5 linked regions of the Callithrix jacchus genome follow. The protein of the gene in region 3 interacts with the protein of the main gene of each other region in a biochemical or structural test. Links are inferred from orthologs where the notes say so. Each region holds a gene or a part of one and is shown on either strand. Other genes may lie near its edges.

Evidence for each region.
Region 1: the proteins of TERT (region 3) and TPP1 form a complex in vitro, tested with the Homo sapiens proteins (2 studies listed by BioGRID and IntAct). The link is inferred for Callithrix jacchus from reciprocal best matches to the Homo sapiens genes TERT and TPP1.
Region 2: the proteins of TERT (region 3) and HSP90AA1 form a complex in vitro, tested with the Homo sapiens proteins (2 studies listed by BioGRID). The link is inferred for Callithrix jacchus from reciprocal best matches to the Homo sapiens genes TERT and HSP90AA1.
Region 4: the proteins of TERT (region 3) and PTGES3 form a complex in vitro, tested with the Homo sapiens proteins (2 studies listed by BioGRID). The link is inferred for Callithrix jacchus from reciprocal best matches to the Homo sapiens genes TERT and PTGES3.
Region 5: the proteins of TERT (region 3) and CIB1 form a complex in vitro, tested with the Homo sapiens proteins (2 studies listed by BioGRID). The link is inferred for Callithrix jacchus from reciprocal best matches to the Homo sapiens genes TERT and CIB1.

The regions. Positions count from the first base shown.
Region 1 is NC_133511.1:72,320,246-72,324,437, reverse strand, and holds the end of TPP1 (tripeptidyl-peptidase 1), read left to right. Parts: coding exon 1-127; coding exon of another isoform or gene 128-132; intron 133-376; coding exon 377-446; intron 447-887; coding exon 888-1,008; intron 1,009-1,121; coding exon 1,122-1,280; intron 1,281-1,457; coding exon 1,458-1,583; intron 1,584-1,763; coding exon 1,764-1,904; 3' UTR 1,905-3,691; downstream 3,692-4,192. UniProt on the Homo sapiens protein: Lysosomal serine protease with tripeptidyl-peptidase I activity. May act as a non-specific lysosomal peptidase which generates tripeptides from the breakdown products produced by lysosomal proteinases. Requires substrates with an unsubstituted N-terminus.
Region 2 is NC_133509.1:137,000,254-137,003,592, reverse strand, and holds the end of HSP90AA1 (heat shock protein HSP 90-alpha), read left to right. Parts: intron 1-237; coding exon 238-428; intron 429-528; coding exon 529-676; intron 677-918; coding exon 919-1,187; intron 1,188-1,469; coding exon 1,470-1,803; intron 1,804-2,069; coding exon 2,070-2,179; 3' UTR 2,180-2,828; downstream 2,829-3,339. UniProt on the Homo sapiens protein: Molecular chaperone that promotes the maturation, structural maintenance and proper regulation of specific target proteins involved for instance in cell cycle control and signal transduction.
Region 3 is NC_133503.1:204,793,305-204,797,438, reverse strand, and holds the start of TERT (telomerase reverse transcriptase), read right to left. Parts: upstream 2,801-4,134; 5' UTR 2,712-2,800; coding exon 2,493-2,711; intron 2,398-2,492; coding exon 1,077-2,397; intron 1-1,076. UniProt on the Homo sapiens protein: Telomerase is a ribonucleoprotein enzyme essential for the replication of chromosome termini in most eukaryotes. Active in progenitor and cancer cells. Inactive, or very low activity, in normal somatic cells.
Region 4 is NC_133510.1:62,989,733-62,992,358, forward strand, and holds the end of PTGES3 (prostaglandin E synthase 3), read left to right. Parts: intron 1-1,197; coding exon 1,198-1,308; 3' UTR 1,309-2,115; downstream 2,116-2,626. UniProt on the Homo sapiens protein: Cytosolic prostaglandin synthase that catalyzes the oxidoreduction of prostaglandin endoperoxide H2 (PGH2) to prostaglandin E2 (PGE2).
Region 5 is NC_133507.1:19,354,564-19,358,598, reverse strand, and holds the start of CIB1 (calcium and integrin-binding protein 1), read left to right. Parts: upstream 1-1,224; 5' UTR 1,225-1,350; coding exon 1,351-1,401; intron 1,402-1,528; coding exon 1,529-1,563; intron 1,564-2,889; coding exon 2,890-2,998; intron 2,999-3,710; coding exon 3,711-3,861; intron 3,862-4,000; coding exon 4,001-4,035. UniProt on the Homo sapiens protein: Calcium-binding protein that plays a role in the regulation of numerous cellular processes, such as cell differentiation, cell division, cell proliferation, cell migration, thrombosis, angiogenesis, cardiac hypertrophy and apoptosis.

The sequences.
Region 1 (4,192 bases), on a different chromosome or scaffold from region 3:
CTGCCACATGTGCATACTGTGAGTTATGGAGATGATGAGGACTCCCTCAGTAGCGCCTACATCCAGCGGGTCAACACTGAGCTCATGAAGGCCGCCACTCGGGGTCTCACCCTGCTCTTCGCCTCAGGTGACCTCCTGCCCTAAACTTAGACACCCCCTCCACCCTTGCAACCTGGAAACTTTGGCCCCACAGTGACCCCTGAGCCTGGTCTCTAACTCACAATCTAAACTGAGACCTTCCAACTGGGACCACTGACCTGACCTCTAAACTCTGACCTCCTGCAGTAATAGCTGACACCTAAATTTCCTCTCTGACATCTGAACCCACATACTAAGCCCTAACAAATTAATGAGTGCTACATTTGGTCTCTCTCAGGTGACAGTGGGGCTGGGTGTTGGTCTGTCTCTGGAAGACACCAGTTCCGTCCTTCCTTCCCTGCCTCCAGGTAAGAACTCTAGCCTACCACTCAGGTATAACCACCACCTTTCACTTGTGAACTCATGATGTAGAACCTTTGTCTTGACTCCACCATGTGCTCCTGTGGTTCAGCTTTAAGCTTTGCCTGTCCTGGCTGCTGCACTCCTGTCTCTTCTTCCTGTAGGTCCCAGTCCCCAAATCTCTTATGTGGGATACAGCTCCCACTGTTTCTTTTCCTCAGTCCCCAGGCATTTTAGTGGAAGATTTGGTGGATGTTCTACAGAGAAAAGTGTGCACAGTCACCTCAGGCCATGCCTTGAAGGCTCAAAAGTCTTAGTCAATCCCATATACATGCTTCCCCACAAAGTCTAATTTCTCCAGCAAGACCTGGGCCATACTCACCCCTCCCCACACATCTTGGAGGTCTGCTTGCATCCCCTACTATCTGAATGCTGTCTTCTGCCCTCAGCCCCTATGTCACCACAGTGGGAGGCACAAGCTTCCAGAATCCTTTCCGCATCACAAATGAGATTGTTGACTATATCAGTGGTGGTGGCTTCAGCAATGTGTTCCCACGACCTTCATACCAGGTACATGTGTTTATGTGGATGGATGCAGGGTGAGAGTGGGGATGGGGGATCCTCAGTTCAGCTGACTGCTGGGCAGGCCACAGGCCAATTTCTCATTCAAAAATGCCTTTCAGGAGGAAGCTGTAGCCAAGTTCCTGAACTCTAGCCCCCACCTGCCACCATCCAGTTACTTCAATGCCAGTGGCCGTGCCTACCCAGATGTGGCTGCACTTTCCGATGGCTACTGGGTGGTCAGCAACAGTGTGCCCATACCATGGGTGTCTGGAACCTCGGTGAGAATCAACCCATCTCCAAACTCTCACTCAGGAATTACTCTTACCCACTAACACCTTGAGCACCTTGTATCCAGAACCCAACTACTTAGAGATGTCTCATACTCTAAAGCTTTACTCCAAAAAAGTCCAGTCACTCAGAACCCCTGACTTCTACTTGCACCTTCACTCTTGCAGGCCTCTACTCCAGTGTTTGGGGGGCTCCTATCCTTGATCAATGAGCACAGAATCCTCAGTGGCCGCCCCCCTCTTGGCTTTCTCAATCCAAGGCTCTACCAGCAGCATGGGGCAGGACTCTTCGATGTGAGTATGGAAGGGAAGGGTGTGAACATTTTCATGCAACTATGGGGAGTGATAAGGGGTACTTGGGGGGCAGTTGGGATGCTGTTGATTGGCCTCTGAAATGTGAATATAGGGTAGGGAGGTATACTCTTTAAGTACTGGTACGAGCAGGCCCAGATCTGATGCCACCCTCCTCCCTAGGTAACCCATGGCTGCCATGAGTCCTGTCTGAATGAAGAGGTGGAGGGCCAGGGTTTCTGCTCTGGCCCTGGCTGGGATCCTGTGACAGGCTGGGGAACACCCAACTTCCCAGCTTTGCTGAAGTCTCTACTCAACCCCTGACCCTTTCCTATCAGGAGAGGTGACTTGTCCCCTGCCCTGAAGCTGGCAGTTCAGTACCGTATTTTGCCCTGTTGGAAGCCCTGCTGAACCCTCAGCTGCACACTGATGCAGACAACTTATCTCCCTAACCCTGAAATGCTGTGTGCTTGACTTGACTCTCAACCCTACCATGCTCCATCATACTCAGGTCTCCCTACTCCTGCCTTAGAATCCTCAATAAGATACTATAACTACCATTTTTTGAATGCCTCTTCCCCCACAGCTCATCTTCCTCTTTCAATCAGGCTTTTCCAAAGAGTTGTATACAGACTCTGTGCACTAGTTCACTTCATAATCACTCCTCAATTCATTGCAAGGAGAGCTCTACTCTCACCTTTTACTCTTTCCTATCCTGACATCCAGAAACAATGGCCTGCAGTGCATACTTCTCAATCTTTGCTTTATGGCCTTTCCATCATAGTTGCCCACTCCCTCTCCTTACTTAGCTTTCAGGGCTTAACTTCTCTGACCACTGTTATCTTTCTCCTTCATCAGCTTCTGCTTCTTCATGGAATGCTGATCTGCATTGCTCCATTCGTAGGGTTTTGCTTTTCTCAGTTTACTCATTGTCCCCTGGAACAAATCACTGACATCTACAACCACTATCATCTCACTAAATAAGACTTTCTATCCAAAAGTGATTGACACCCCAAATTTAAGACGTGTGATACTCAACATTTCATCTTCCACCTTCCCAACCCCAAACAATTCCATCTCTTGTTTCTTCTTGGCAAATGATGCTATGCTTTTTCCAACCAAGCCAGAAACCCATGTCATCTTTCTACTCCACCTTCAATCAACAAGTCCTACTGACTGTACCTCTTAAATATATCTTCATCAGTCCACAAGTCCTTCCAATTATATTTCCCAAATATATCTAGAACTTATCCACTTCTATCCCCACTACTACTACATTTTTTAGGGCCATGTTCTCCTGGAAAAACAAACAAACAAAAAACAACAACAAAAAAGTGTTCTTCCTGCCAACCCCAAACCATCTTCCAGAGTAAAATGCAAATCCCATCAGGCCACTTGATGAAAACCCTTCAAGGATTACTGGATAGAGTTCAGGCTTTTTTATTTTTCCAATCATAGTTCACAAACCTTCCTTGCTATTTGTTCCTAAGTAACAAATCATTTTTCCTCCTCCCTCCCCAAACTCCTAGAACTCTCACTCTTGCTCAAGCTGCTCCGTCCCCTTAACACCACCACCCTTGATAAAATTGCCTCGTTAATTTCCAGAATTCTTGCAAGACTCAGCTCAGAAGTCACCTTCTGTCATGAATGCTTTGATTCCCTGAGGCTACTTTATTTTGGTATGCGTAAAAAAACCCCTAGATTTTCTAAACAAAACCTCTTTGAATCTTGGTTCTGAAATGGACTAGGAGACCGACTGGGTCAAGTAAGTTTAACACCCTGAAGCTGTTTCCTCGTCTGTTAAGTGGGAATATCAATACCTGCCTTTCATAATAACGAGGAAATAAAGTGAAATAACGTTGATACGAATGCTTGGGACCTGGGAGTAGGTAGCAGATGTTAACGCCCTTCCTCCCTTGCACTGCACCCCCTGTGCCTACCTCTAGCATTGTAACATCCACATAGTATTGAAATGGCCAGTTTACTTGTTTGGCTTCCTTTCCAAGACCGCTGGTGCCTAGAGGACTAGAATCACGTCCTATTTAACTGTAATCCCCAGACCCTAGCTCAGGAGTTGGCAAATAAGAATTAAATGTCTGCTACATTGAAAACCCCACGTCTTTCACTCGCTGTGATTTTTGCGTATGCTGTTGACTCAGGCTGAAACCCCTCCTCCTCCTACAGCAGCACTGTGTGCCGGCCCACTGCTGCCCCCACCTCTCGGGGCAGTTGGTGGAGAAGGGGGCTTTCCAAATCCACTACGAACCCTTAAAAGGCTGAATAAGGGAACTTGAAAGGATGCAGACAGGCAGGCAATCCGTAGTCGAGGGATGTAGGGCCATAAACCTCGAAGCAAGGTCTTGAACGTCAGGCAGAACGAGCTGAAAGAGGAGTCAGAGGAGTCCCAGATGAACGCTGGTTCCGGTCTCGACTGAATCGCCGCGGAGCACGGCACAGGCTAGGGCGGAATGGCGACGGCAAGCGCAGTTGGCCAAGGCTTGGTCTCCTCCCTTCAGCCTATTTTCTCTAACCCGCAGACCCGCTACCGGAGGAGGCGGGGAGCGGGCCGGAGAGTGCTAACAGTGACAGGCGGGGCGAGTCGTGGGCGCGTG
Region 2 (3,339 bases), on a different chromosome or scaffold from region 3:
GTGGTGGGTGCCTGGAGTCCAGCTGAGTCTTGAGAATAGCTTGAATAGGGAGAGGGGAGTGGGAGATAGGTTGCAGTGGGCAGAGATCGGGCCACTGCACTCCACCCTGTAAAACAGACCCATCTTAATACATATGTATATATTTTGAGGTTTTTACGTTTGATTTTTTGGGGGTTATCTAGCACCAGTTTTGTCTTTGGAATGACTCAGTGCATTTGGTTTTTATATTTTTTTCAGACTTCATTAGAGGGGTGGTAGACTCAGAGGATCTCCCTCTAAATATTTCCCGTGAGATGTTGCAACAAAGCAAGATTTTGAAAGTTATCAGGAAGAATCTGGTCAAAAAATGCTTAGAACTCTTCACTGAACTGGCAGAAGATAAAGAGAACTACAAGAAGTTCTATGAGCAGTTCTCTAAAAACATAAAGGTTAGTGTAAATATTTGACCATTAGTAGTTTTCCAACTGGCCTCTTTTTAGATTTTTTTTAAATTCAAGACATCTTTGTAAAGAACTTACTTTGTTTCAGCTTGGAATACACGAAGACTCTCAAAATCGGAAGAAGCTTTCAGAGCTGTTGAGATACTACACATCTGCCTCTGGTGATGAGATGGTATCTCTCAAAGACTACTGCACCAGAATGAAGGAAAACCAGAAACATATCTATTATATCACAGGTAGGGGGACAGTACATTACACTCAAACACTTTGTTCTTGGAACCTTGTAGGCTCTGGATGTGTTTTCTACTCAGGTAGCACTGTTAGTATAACTGGTGTTGATCTAAGCAGGATACTTAACATGAGCTCAGTCATCTGTTTTCGGTTCTGCCTAGGTATCTGACTAGTAAGAAAAGTCAGAAGTAGGTGAAGCCATTCCTTACTGTCAAAAGGTATAAAAGTAACTTTTATAATACCTCAGGTGAGACCAAGGACCAAGTAGCTAACTCAGCCTTTGTGGAACGTCTTCGAAAGCATGGCTTAGAAGTGATCTATATGATTGAGCCCATTGATGAGTACTGTGTCCAACAGCTGAAGGAATTTGAGGGGAAGACTTTAGTGTCAGTCACCAAAGAGGGCTTGGAACTTCCAGAGGATGAAGAAGAGAAAAAGAAACAGGAAGAGAAGAAAACAAAGTTTGAGAACCTCTGCAAAATCATGAAAGACATACTGGAGAAAAAGGTTGAAAAGGTATGTGAATACAGCATTTCCTGATGATTGATACCTCTAAGGGGCTTTCAAGCTTACATAACCCATTTTCCCTTGTTCTCAGCTTCACTGAAAACTATGGTTGTGTATGTAAAACACAATTTTAGCCTGTGCTGTTTGGATACCTAATAAAACCTTAAGTTGTATTTGATAGTAGATGGTATTTCCGACATATTGATATTTTGGTTCTTCAGATTTCATTTCACAATGAAAGTTTAGGTTTTAATCTTTCTAGGCTCCTAAGTTCTTACTTCTTCATTACAGGTGGTTGTGTCAAACCGATTGGTGACGTCTCCATGCTGTATTGTCACAAGCACATACGGCTGGACAGCAAACATGGAGAGAATCATGAAAGCTCAAGCCCTGAGAGACAACTCAACAATGGGTTACATGGCAGCAAAGAAACACCTGGAGATAAACCCTGACCATTCCATCATCGAGACCTTAAGGCAAAAGGCGGAGGCTGATAAGAACGACAAGTCTGTGAAGGATCTGGTCATCTTGCTTTATGAAACCGCTCTCCTGTCTTCAGGCTTCAGTCTGGAGGATCCCCAGACACATGCTAACAGGATCTACAGGATGATCAAACTTGGTCTAGGTAAGCCTTAAACTGTGTCAAGTTGAAAAGCAATCATACATGACTTGTGAAAAAGTGGTTAATGTTATCCAAACTTGGAGCACCTTGTCCTGCTCAGAGGCATTCAGGTATCTTTTTCTACAGGGATAAGGTGTTACAAGAGCTAAGAAACGAAGATTCCTATGCCCAGTAATACTGTCTTGAAAGCAGATGTAAACCAGGAGTATTAATACTAATTAGCTGGCTTTAAGAAATCTTCCTAATAGAGGATTTTCTTTTGAAAACAGGTATTGATGAAGATGACCCTACTGCTGATGATACCAGTGCAGCTGTAACTGAAGAAATGCCACCCCTCGAAGGAGATGACGACACGTCACGCATGGAAGAAGTAGACTAAGCTCCATCTGAGGGATGACTTACCTGTTCAGTACTCTACAGTTCCTCTAATAATATATTTTCAAGGATGTTTTTCTTTATTTTTGTTAACATTAAAAAGTCTATGGCATGATCACAACTATAAGGGGAAGGTAGATCTCTGCCGACTTCTGAGCGATGCTGTGATACTGTAGGCAGTAACGCAGAGCTAGTAATGCTTGTTTAGTTTCACGTTGGCTTACATTAACAGATCGAGGTACTTTGTGTTGTAAGATGTATGTAACATGTTAACTTTGTGGTCTAAAGTGTTTAGCAAGCCAGATTCCTTAGTAGACCAAATCTTGTTATCGAAGTGTTCCCAAGCTATACTTTGATGTTTAGAAGAGAAGTGTTTGTTATACCTTGTAGGATCTACTTTCTGAACTCTTCCTCCCTGTAGTTGCCAATTCTGCATGTACTAGTCCTCTAGAAATAGGTTAAACTGAAGCAACTTGATGGAACTCTCCACAGGGCTTGTTTTCCAAAGAAAGTATTGTTTGGAGGAGCAGTTATTAGCCTACCTAAGCATACCATAAGCTGTTCAAAGTAACTCAGAGCCAGTCTTGTGGATGGAAATGTAGTGCTCGAGTTACATTCTGCTTAAAGTTGTAACAAATACAGATGAGTTAAAAGAAGTTGCGTGACAGTGTCTGTCTTGGGCAGAGAAGGGGAGTATTCTTGATGTGACAGCATTGGTGCCACAATGTAAAACATGAGGTACTAGCAGGAGGTGACTAACATTGGCCACTGTAAGGGTTGACATGATCTTCCCAATGTGTACTTCTGGTGCGTGTGGGGTGGAGTACATGTAGACAGAAAATAATGCAGACAATGTGCATCCCATGTGCACGTCTGCACTGTTGTGATGATATTCATGGGACACCTTGTGTCTTAAATGTAGTCAGTTCCTTGGCCTTTTGTCTCAGTTCATTACCAGATTTCTTTAAACTCAGTGTCTAAAGTCGCTCATTTTCTGGTCCTTTGAGCTCGTTGTGAGCAGTAGGTAACAAGTCGGTAGGGGAAAGATTAGCTGGCATGTCTCCAAAGGTTTAAAAAATACTGGGCACAGTGGCTCACCCCTATAATCTAGCACTTTGGGACACTGAGGTGGGTGGATCATGTGAGGTCAGCCTGACAAACATG
Region 3 (4,134 bases):
GAGGAGGAGGGCCTGTTCCGGCTGCCACTGCAAGGCCTGGGAGTGCTGGGAGCCAACAGGGGGGTGCAGCAGAGGTGCCTCCACATCAAACCCAGAAAAACAGAGCGGGGACACGGCAGGACCCAGCAGCACTGTCCCCCGAACACCCACAGCACCGTCCCTTCCCTGAGCAGGAGCCATCTGCTGTCCTCTGCTCCCACGTGGCCTTCTTCACTCCTACAGACAGGACCAGGACCTGTGCTGGAGGACAGCCTTCTTTATCTCCCTCCCTCTACTCTGTCCTGGCAGAATCAATGCACCATTTTTTTGTTTTGTTTTTGAGACAGTTTCACTCTTGTCACCCAGGATGGAGTGCAATGGCACCATTTCAGCTCACTGCAACCTCCCGGGTTAAAGTGATTCTTCTGCCTCAGCCTCCTGAGTAGCTGGGATTACAGGCACACGCCACCGTGCCCAATTGGTTTTTGCATTTTTAGTAGAGATGGGCGTTCGCCATGTTGGCCAGGCTGGTCTCGAACTCCTGACCTCAGGTGATCCACCTGCCTCTGCCTCCGAAAGTACTGGGATAACAGATGTGAGCCACCAACACAATTAAATCTTAAATACAAACCTGCATATTGGCTGACCATGTGCACCTGCAAAACCCTTCCCTCCCACCCCAGGAAGAGGGAGTTTTTGTCCTCAACTCCCATTCCTATCCTTGAAATCGTGAAGGGGATTATAGGTAACCTGCAGGCACTCTGCCAAGAGTGTCTGTGCTTCCACCCGCTTCCCCACCTTGTGAGCACCCCAGCTCCACAGCACGCCCCGCCCCGTCTGTTCACTGCTCTGGCCTCAGCGCCTGGAAACTGCACGTCCATAAAAAACCTGAAGGCGAACCTCATAGCTTTATGCAAACTGGACGGGAGAGAGAGCGCAGAGGCAGAGATCACCACGTCCACTGACGTCCTGAGCAAGAAGCCACGTGTGCCCACGTGATGCAGACCAGAGGACCAGGGCTCTGCCTGCCCTCTTTTCTGAACCCCTTCTGCATTAAGCTCTGGGGCCTGGGACCTCGACGGCCACCCTCTCCTCACCTGGGCTCCTGCGCAGCCAAGCGCAGTCACGCACGCTCATCTTCCAGGTCAGCTCCTGCAGCGAGAGCTTGGCATGCTTCCCCAGAGAGATGAACTTCTTGGTGTTCCTGAGGAAGCGACGCTCGTTGTGCCTGGAGCCCCAGAGGCCGGGAGGCACCAGCCGGCGAAGGCAGGCCCGCAGGAAGCTGTACACCTGCCAGGGGCTGCTGTGCTGGCGGAGCAGCTGCACCAGGCGACGAGGGTCTGTGTCCTCCTCCTCGGGGGCTGCCACAGAACCCAGGGGCTCCTGGGCACAGACACGGGCCGCCGGGGTGACCGCAGTCCGCAGTGGGCAGTGTGTCTTGAGGAGCGCCCCGTAGGGGCACCGCGCGTGGTTCCTGAGCAGCTCCAGAAACAGGGGCCGCATCTGCCAGTAGCGCTGGGGCAGGCGGGGCAGCCTGCGGGGCGTCCCTGGCCTCGAACCCAGAAAGATGGTGTCCAGGAGCCTGCGGGCGCCCGTCAGGCTGGGGCGCAGGGCGCTGAGTAGGAAGGAGGGCCGAAGCCGCTCCTGGGCACCCGAAGAGTAGAGGAAGTGCTTGGTCTCGGCATAGACCAGGGGACATGGCGTGTCCCGGGGCTGCGGTGACCGCGATTTGGATGGGGGCCCCGCCCCGGGCTGGTGGCCCGCTGATGGGTACGAGTGGCATGCGCCAGGGGCTTCCTCGGCTGCTCCCACAGGTGATACCACGCAGAAACCGTGGCCACTCGGTCCACGTGTCCTGCCGGGGTGCGCCCGAGATCCCTGCCCCACAGGCGTCCGCTCCGGCTCCAGGGCAGGCCCACACCTGGGCCTCTTGGGCCACGGTGGACTTACGCTGGCGCTGCCCCGGCGCCTTCTCTCACCCGGGGCTGGCAGGCCCAGGCGGACCCCGGGCTCCTTGACGCTGCTGCTCCAGGCCCGTTTGCGTCCCAGGCCCCTTCGCGTCCCAGCCGCGTGTGGCGCGGGCCGGGGCTCGGGCGCAGTGCGGAGCTCGTACAGCGGCGGCCCGCACACCTGGTAGGCGCAGCTGGGAGCCACCAGCACGTAGAGCGCGCAGTGCGCCAGCAGGTAAACCAGCACGTCGTCGCCCAGGCGGCGCAGCAGCAGCGCCCACGCCCCGCTGCCGCGCAGCGTCTCGGTCACCGTGTTGGGCCGGTAGCTGCGCACGCTGGTGGTGAAGGCCTCGGGGGGGCCGCCGCCGGCGCCATCCAGCAGCGCGAAGCCGAAGGCCAGCACGTTCCTCGCGCCACGCTCGCAAAGCCTCTGCAGCACCCGGGCCACCAGCTCCTTCAGGGGGGACACCTGCGGGCGGGGGAAGCGCCCTGAGTCGCCCGCCGGGGGTGCGCGCGCCGCTCCGCTCCCACCCCCGCGCCGGACGCGGACCCCGGGTACCCCACCTGGTGGAAGGATGGGGCGGCGGGGGGCGGCCGTGCGTCCCAGGGCACGCACACCAGGCACTGCGCCACCAGCGCGCGAAAAGCCGCCGGGTCCCCGCGCTGCACGAGCCGCCGGCCCTCGGGCCCCAGGCGCCGCACAAACGTGGCCAGCGGCAGCACCTCGCGGTAGCGGCTGCGCAGCAGGGAGCGCACGGCTCGGCAGCGTGGCGCGCGCGGCATCGCGGTGGACTGCAAGGGCCGGAGCGCGGCGTCCCACGTGCGCAGCAAGACGCGGCGCGGTCAGCCTCCAACCTGCGCCCCAAGAGAAGGCGGGACCGCGGAGAGGAAGGGGCGGGGCCGGAGAGTGAGGGGCGGGGCTGGAGGGGAGGGGGCGGAGAGGGCCGGAGGGGGCGGGGCCGGGGACCGGGGACGGGGAGGGGTCGGGACGGGGACGGGGGCGGGGTCCGCGCGGAGTCGGCGGAGCTAGGTGAGGGCGGGGGCGGGCCGGGTTTAGGAAGCCTGGGTCCCTCTCCCTCCGCCACGTGGGCAGCGCAGTCCCGGGCGTCTGCGCCCCCGAATCCACCGGGATCCCGGCCTGGCCTGGCCTCGACCGCGCAGCTGCTCCGTGCGGACCCGGGGGTCTGGGACGCGCTTCCCGCCCGCGCGCCGCCGCCGCTCGCAGGGTGCAGCGACCCCAGCGAGGGCCCCGCAGAGAGGGGTGACGTCAGCCCAAGCGCGGGGTAACCCGAGGGAGGGGCGGTGGCCCTGGGCACAGGTGCGTGGGGCGCTCACTTCATGGCTTTCCCAGATGGGCCCGACCCCTAGAGCCAGGGCTGTCCCCCGGTCCGGACGGGGAACGTCGGGAAGAAGCAGGGCGGCGGGCTCCCGGCCCTGGGAATGCAGGGCTCCGGGGGAGGACCGAAGCGCGTAGACGCGGCTGGGGACGACCCCCAGGGCACAGCGCTCCCGGGACGGGCACGCGGGGCTCTCGGAGCGCCTCCCTGCCCACGGGCAGTACTTCCCCGCGACTTGGTCTCCTTTTCTCTTTGCAGGTTCTTAGGCCGCGAGGGGTCCCCACCATGAGCAAACCACCTCAGATCTGTTCACCCACCGGGCCGTCGCGTCGAGGAAGGGTGGGACATGCAGTCAGGTGCTCCTCTGGCCCGGCACTGGGGGCCTCACACCTGCCGCAGCTGCCTTTACCCTGGGCCCTGGCGCGGTGTCCACCAGCTGAGGCCAAACTCCGGTCACTCCCACCCGCAGAGGGAGGAGGGCAGCCTCGGGGGTCCGGGCACCTGGCTACAGCCTCGGACCGCTGAACCAGAAGGCCCGACCTCCAGCCCAGCTGAGGAAGCCACGCAGCCGCTGGGCCCCTGCAGACCCAGGGCCCGGGCACAGCCGAGGACTTCCCCGAGCCCCAACTCCGGCTGCTCAAGTTTGCATCTAGGAGGTAAGAAACTTCTGGGTCTCCAGAGGCTTTGCGGGGAGCGTGTAGCTGAGGTCGGCAAACACTGAAATGCTAACAGATGCAACCTTCAATGTAACCTTTCCTACTTTCCGAGAGTGTGGGCGGAAATTGCTTTATTTATGGGCCTAGCATTTGAACAGGCCTCGCGCCCTCCCTGAGCCATCACACTCGCTAGGGGTTCGCCTCACCTTGTAA
Region 4 (2,626 bases), on a different chromosome or scaffold from region 3:
GTTTGAGACCAGCCTGGCCAATATGATGAAACCCTGTCTTTACTGAAGATAGAAAAATTAGCTGGGCATGGTGGCGTGTGCCTATTCTCCCAGCTACCCAGGAAGTTGAGGCAGGAGAATCATTTGAACCCAGGAAATAGAAGTTGCAGTGAGCCGAGATTGTGCCGCTGCACTCCGGCCTGGGCAACAGAGCAGGACTCTGTTTCAAAATAAAAAAGGCTGAGTATGGCGGCTCGTGCCTGTAATCTCATCACTTTGAGAAGCCGAGGCTGGTGGATCGCTATAGCCCAGGAATTCGAGACCAGCCTGGCCAAAATGGTGAAACCCTGTCTCTACTAAATAGAGAAAAATTAGCTCGGTATGGTGGTGCATGCCTGTAATCCCAGCTACCCAGGAGGCTGAGGCATGAGAATTGCTTGAACACAAAGGCAGAGGTTGCAGTGAACCAAGATCACACCACTGCACTCCAACCTGGATGACAGAGCAAGACTGTATCAAAAAAAAAAAAAATACCAGCTGGGCGTGGTGTGTCATTGTTGTAATCCCAGCACTTTGGGAGGCCAAGGTGGGTTGATCACCTGAGGTCAGGAGTTTGAGACCAGCCTGACCAACACGGAGAGACCCTGTCTCTACTAAAAATACAAAATTAGTTAGGCATGGTGGTGCATGCCTGTAATCCCAGCTACTCAGAAGGCTGAGGCAGGAGAATCTCTTGAATCTGGGAGACGGAGGTTGCAGTGAGCTGAGATCGCACGATTGCACTCCAGCCTGGACAACAAGAGCAAAACTTCATCTCAGGGAAACAACAAAAAAAGAATACCATAATACACAATCTACCTAACTTAAGATAGAAAGCTTTGCAACTACAGATGAATCCCATTCTTTTCTTTAACCACCAGAGGTAACCACTACTCAAGTAGAATTTTTAATGTCTGTCATACATTGATACTTGCTGCATGAGTAGCTTGGTTTTTCTTTAGGGAAAATTTAGTTTTAATTTCCGTACAGGTTTTTAGGATTTTGTGTAATTACCTATAATCTACCTTTCACAGAAGGGAAAATGCTTACATTTATTTTGCATTTTTCATTTGTGGATATCTGTGGCAGACTTAAGGTTTATTCTGAAGCATGCAGCCTAATAATTAGGGCCTAACGTAACAACATCATTTTTTAAACTAATTTTTACACTTCAAATAGATGATGAACAACATGGGTGGTGATGAGGATGTAGATTTACCAGAAGTAGATGGAGCAGATGATGTAAGTCTAAAAGTTTTTTTTTCTGTTTACTTTTATACTATTAAATAGTAAGAAACAGCATATTACAGGTGGTTTTATAGAGATTCAGGATTACTTCTTATTTTGTAAAAAAAAAAATAAAAAGGGAAAAGCAGTTTTTAAAATCTGCCCATTTTTGAGGAATGAATATCTACTAGGGAACTGGTTGTTCTGTAGACCATTCCTAAATGGATCAGATTTCAAAAGAATCATTGTATAGTGACATTATATATTAATACTTTACTGAATTATAAGAGTCAATTTAGGCTGGGTACAGTGGCTCATGCTTGTAATTCCAGCACTTTGGGAGGCTGAGGTGGGCAAATCACTTGAGGTCAGGAGTTCAAGACCAGCCTGGCCAACATGGTGAAACCATCTCTACAAAAATTAGCCAGGCAATAATGGCAGATGCCTGTAATCCTAGCTGCTGGAGAGGATACGGTTATGAGAATTCTTTAACCCAGGAGGTGGAGGTTGCAGTGAGCCAAGATCACATTATTGCACTCCAGCCTGGGCAACAGAGCAAGAGTCTGTCTCAGAAAAAGAATCGGTTTATAGGGATTATTTTGACTAAGAAAGCAAGTTAAATAGGTTTAATGTCAGGATTAGTCAGAGACCAGTTAAACAAATGGACGTTGTAAATCTGTAAGAGGATGATATATTAAACTACTTTTCTGAGCATCTTCCCAACACCAGCATTTTAACAGCTCCTGGAAAGTTATTTAATACAGTTTAGAAAAATATGTAATATTCACTCAACAGCTAGGATTAGAGTTCACTGTTTTCTGTCAGTCCATTGTTCTTCATATTGAACCATGTTTTCTCTTTGAATGCCAAGATAGAATTTAGGGAGGGATTCAAAATGTGGGCTGAATGTCTCCAAAAGGCACACACTAGTTTTTAACAGGTAGATAGATCCTCTGCTGTACATCCATTCACCTTAGGTAAACCTAGTCTTAAGTCCAGTGACTAAATTTCTATGCTTGATGTACTTAACTACCTGTGCTACTTTAGATCAAAAATACAGCACTTGAACTTAAGGTAAACTGTTCAGTTAGCAAAGGAATATTTGGTCAGCTCAGTAACTTTTCTAAATTTTGCCTCTTGCAGGATTCACAAGACAGTGATGATGAAAGTAAGTGTATATAAAAAGTATGTTTACACAGTGATATTTTACATCAAAAACCAAACTCAAAAAAGTGATGTTAACTTTGGAAGAAAAGTAATTTTTTCTTTATGACCTCGAATAAATAACCAAAACAGAAATGTGAATTACTTGAGATAGCAAGACCACCTACCTATTCATTGGGAAACGATATATTTTTGATTTTTGGTTGCTTTTCCTTTA
Region 5 (4,035 bases), on a different chromosome or scaffold from region 3:
CAGCCTGACCAACACAACCTCCACTTCCACCTCCCAGCAGTTTGGCGTCCTTACCTTTTGCAGTAGAATACGTTCATTCATTCATTATGCATTTGATAATATTTACCGAGAACGTACTATGTGCCAAGCATTGTCCTAGAGGTTAAGAGGGGACCAGAGCAAAAGGGTCAGCTTTGATCTCTATAGCCTAGGGCATACAGTCTAGGGGTGGGATGGGGTCAAAGGATGGCATGTCAGCTGGAATGATGCAAACAGCAGTGGAGAGCCTTGAAAAGTGCCTTGGAGCCGGGCGCGGTGGCTCACGCCTGTAATCCCAGCACTTTGGGAGGCCGAGGCAGGCGGATCACGAGGTCAAGAGATGGAGACCACCCTGGCCAACAGGGTGAAACCCCGTCTCCACTAAAATACAAAAATTAGCTGGGCATGGTGGCGCGCGCCTGTAGTCCCAGCTACTTGGGAGGCTGAGGCAGGAGAACTGCTTGAACCCAGGAGGCAGCCAAGATCCCGCCATTGCCCTCCAGCCTGGAGCCTGGCGACAGAGGGAGACTGTGTCTCCAAAAAAAAGAAGACAAGTGCCTTGGACTGGATCAATCACTTTCTAAACGCCGGAGCCCGGACACATCACTAAATCCCTCTGGACTTACGTATTTCCACCTTTGTAAAATGGATACCTACCTTGCAGTCGAAGAAAACTATGCACACTGCTTGACATCCAGTAGGTCCTCAGTAAATAGCCTCAGAAGGAAGCAAGGTTCGGGTTACTTCTGGAAGAGGCGGCTTGGGGGCTGCGACAGGTGCCTCGATTGCCTGATAACGTCTAGAAAATCCTTGCTGGGCAGAGGGGCAGCCGAAGACCCCGGCCACTCAGCGAGTCTCCAGGTTTCCTGTAAACGTCAGCTCTAGTGACTTCTCAGATGCCCCTATGGGACTCCACACAGGGCTGCCGCCGCCACCACCTACAGCAGCCGAGGAGGATACACCGCGCGACCTTCCCGGCAGCGGCTGCAGGGACCGCTGCCAGGAAGCGACGCCCGTGACGCATGCGCAGCCAGCACGCATGCGCGCGGTGTGGCTCGTCCCGCCCACCCCGGAGGCGGGGCCGTGAGGCCTGGGCTCTGCCCCGGGGCATCAGGCCCCGCCCCTTACCCCGCCCCCAGCTCGCCTGGGACCGCCCGGAGCGGGGAGCTCGCCTGCCAACCCGGCTAGGAGCGCCTGGGCGCGTTTAGGCGGGGGCGGTGGCCCCTGGAGCGGTTGCCGCGGGGACCGGGCTGAGACGCGGCCCAAAGGCGGAAGTGAGAAAGTTGTCGGCGTCTCGAGGCGAGTTGGCGGAGCGTTGCGCGCGGCGCGGCTATGGGGGGCTCGGGCAGTCGCCTGTCCAAGGATCTGCTGGCCGAGTATCAGGTGCGCGGGACGCCGGGCCCTAGGGAGTCGCGTGCCGGTCTGTTCCCGGGCGGGGTCCGGGAGCGGCGGCGGGGCGGTCACGGCCTCCCGGCGGCCCGATAACCCCCGCTCTGGCTTTGCATTCCAGGACTTGACGTTCCTGACGAAGCAAGAGATCCTCCTGTAAGTGCTGCCTTGAACCCCGCCTCTGATCCCGGGCTCCTCTAGAGGCGGACTCGCGGGGGGCGCTGTCCCAAGGGAGGGGCGGGGGCCGGCCTGAGGTCGGCTGAGGGGCTGGGGCTGGAGGCCGGGAGACCCTGCCCGGGCTGCGCCCTCCCCGCCCTCGCCGGGGGCTCTGCGTGGCAGCCTCCGAGAAAAGTTAGGTGCTCTTTGACCCTGAGCTGACTAGCTTCATCACTGCCGAACTTCCTGCTCTAGTCCGGCAGGGGCCGGCTTTGCGCAGTGGCTAAGCCACGGAAGCCTTGGGGAGTCTGGCTCCTTCTCCCAACTTGACCTGAACAATACAGGAACCGTTAACGCTTTCTGAGCACTCACCTTGTGCCAGGGACTGTGCTAAATGGTTGCCTGCATGACCTAATTTAATCTTTAGGAGAGAGGTACTGGACAATGAAACAGGTTCAGAGAGGTTTGCTAACTGCCTAAGACAACACTCTGAGCAAGTAGATTTGAACTTGACCTGGAAGCCCTTTTGCCAGATATATGCAGGGCGGGCACTTGAGTGAGGAGATGCCTGGGCTTCCTGCGCAAAGATGATCTCATGGGAAGGAGATGGAGGCTGAGGAGGAGGACAGTTCAGGGTGGCTGCTAAAAAGGAGGTTTTGAAGGCAAGAGATCCCTGGAGTGGAGGTGATAATGAGATTTTTGGTTTTGTTTTTTTCTCCCTGTATGTATGTATGTATGTATGTATTTATTTATTTATCAAGACAGAGTCTCTGCCCAGGCTGGAGTGCTGTGGCACGATCTCTGCTGACTGCAGCCTCTGCCTCCTGGGTTCAAGTGATTCTCCTGCCTCAGCCTCCTGAATAGCTGGGATTACAGGCACCAGCCACCATGCCCGGCAAATTTTTGTATTTTAGTCGAGATAGGGTTTTACCATTTTGCTCAGGCTGGTCTCAAACTCCTGACCTCAAATGCTTTGCCCACCTTGGCCTTCCAAAGTGCTGGGGTTACAGGCGTGAGCCATAGCACCTGGCCAGTTCTTTAGGGCCAACTTCTGGCTCCATCCCCAACCTCTTTATCCCTCGGGGATCTCTAGAATCAGTGCCCAGCACATAGTAGATGCTCAGTAAATACTCACCGTAAGACTAGACTCCTAGGCTGTACAGCCTCCTGACATGTCCTTTTGCTTACTGTTGCCTGATGACTGGGAAGTTCTATGTACGTGGTTTCAGCTCCTCACTTGGTTGATGAGCAGCAGGCAAGGAGTGGGAATGAACACACAGGGACACCTATCGCTGAGAGGGCCAACCGTTCCCCTCTCTCTGCCAGAGCCCACAAGCGGTTTTGTGAGCTGCTTCCCCAGGAGCAGCAGAGCGTGGAGGCGTCACTTCGGGCACAAGTGTCCTTCGAGCAGATCCTCAGCCTTCCAGAGCTCAAGGTGCCAGTGCTCCCCTCCTTTGACCCCTCCCTCACCACTCCCTCCCTGCTAGACCCCCCTAACTCCATCTGCCGCTAGCTTTGAGATCATGAGGTCACTGGTCCCCATTCTGGTCATTTCTCTGCTTAGTTCTAATTTTCTGGGGGCAAGGACTTTACTAATATCACCTGGCAGAATTCTCTAGAATGGTGCTTTTCAAATGGGGATTCTAGGACATATTCTTGGAAGTTCAAAGAAGTTTTGTCCTTTAAGAGGAGTTGAGTTACCATATTAAGGTTTGAGGAACCCTGTTCTAGAGGGTGATTGCAAATTCACAGGGCTGTTGTGAAAATTTTGTGCAAAGGGTCTGAGCCAGGGCCTATAACACAATAGGTGTTCAGTTAACCATTCGTGTTTTAAAATAACCAGCCCATCTCGTTCCCTTTGCTTAAGATGCCTTCTTCTTCCCTCTTTGCTCACACTTAGGTTGTACATGACCTGCCTTTGGGTTAAACACTTGACTCCCAGGAAGCTGTCTCAGTCCCTTCCCCAACTGGCTCAGTTTGCCCTCCTGTGCCCCCATGGCCCTGCATGTTGGCCCCAAAGCACTGATCATTCACCCTTGAGAGCCTGAGCTCCCTGCTGCTGATCCTATGACCTGCTCTCCCAAGTTTCTAATAGTGTTTGATGAGTGTGTGACCTGGGCCACGTCCTATGGTATTTGTTCTCCTAGGCCAACCCCTTCAAGGAGCGAATCTGCAGAGTCTTCTCCACGTCCCCAACCAGAGACAGCCTTAGCTTCGAGGACTTCCTGGACCTCCTCAGTGTGTTCAGTGACACAGCCACGCCAGATATCAAGTCCCATTATGCCTTCCGAATCTTCGGTGAGAACCAAAGCCCGGTGGGACACCACCCTTTCCCACGTGGGCTTTGTGGTGGCCATGCTTGGGAAATGGGCACCGTTTGTGGAACCTCAGAGCCCCTCCTGACCATGTCTTTTGGCTTCCTGTGTCTGCTCTCTAGACTTTGATGATGATGGAACCTTGAACAGAGAAGAC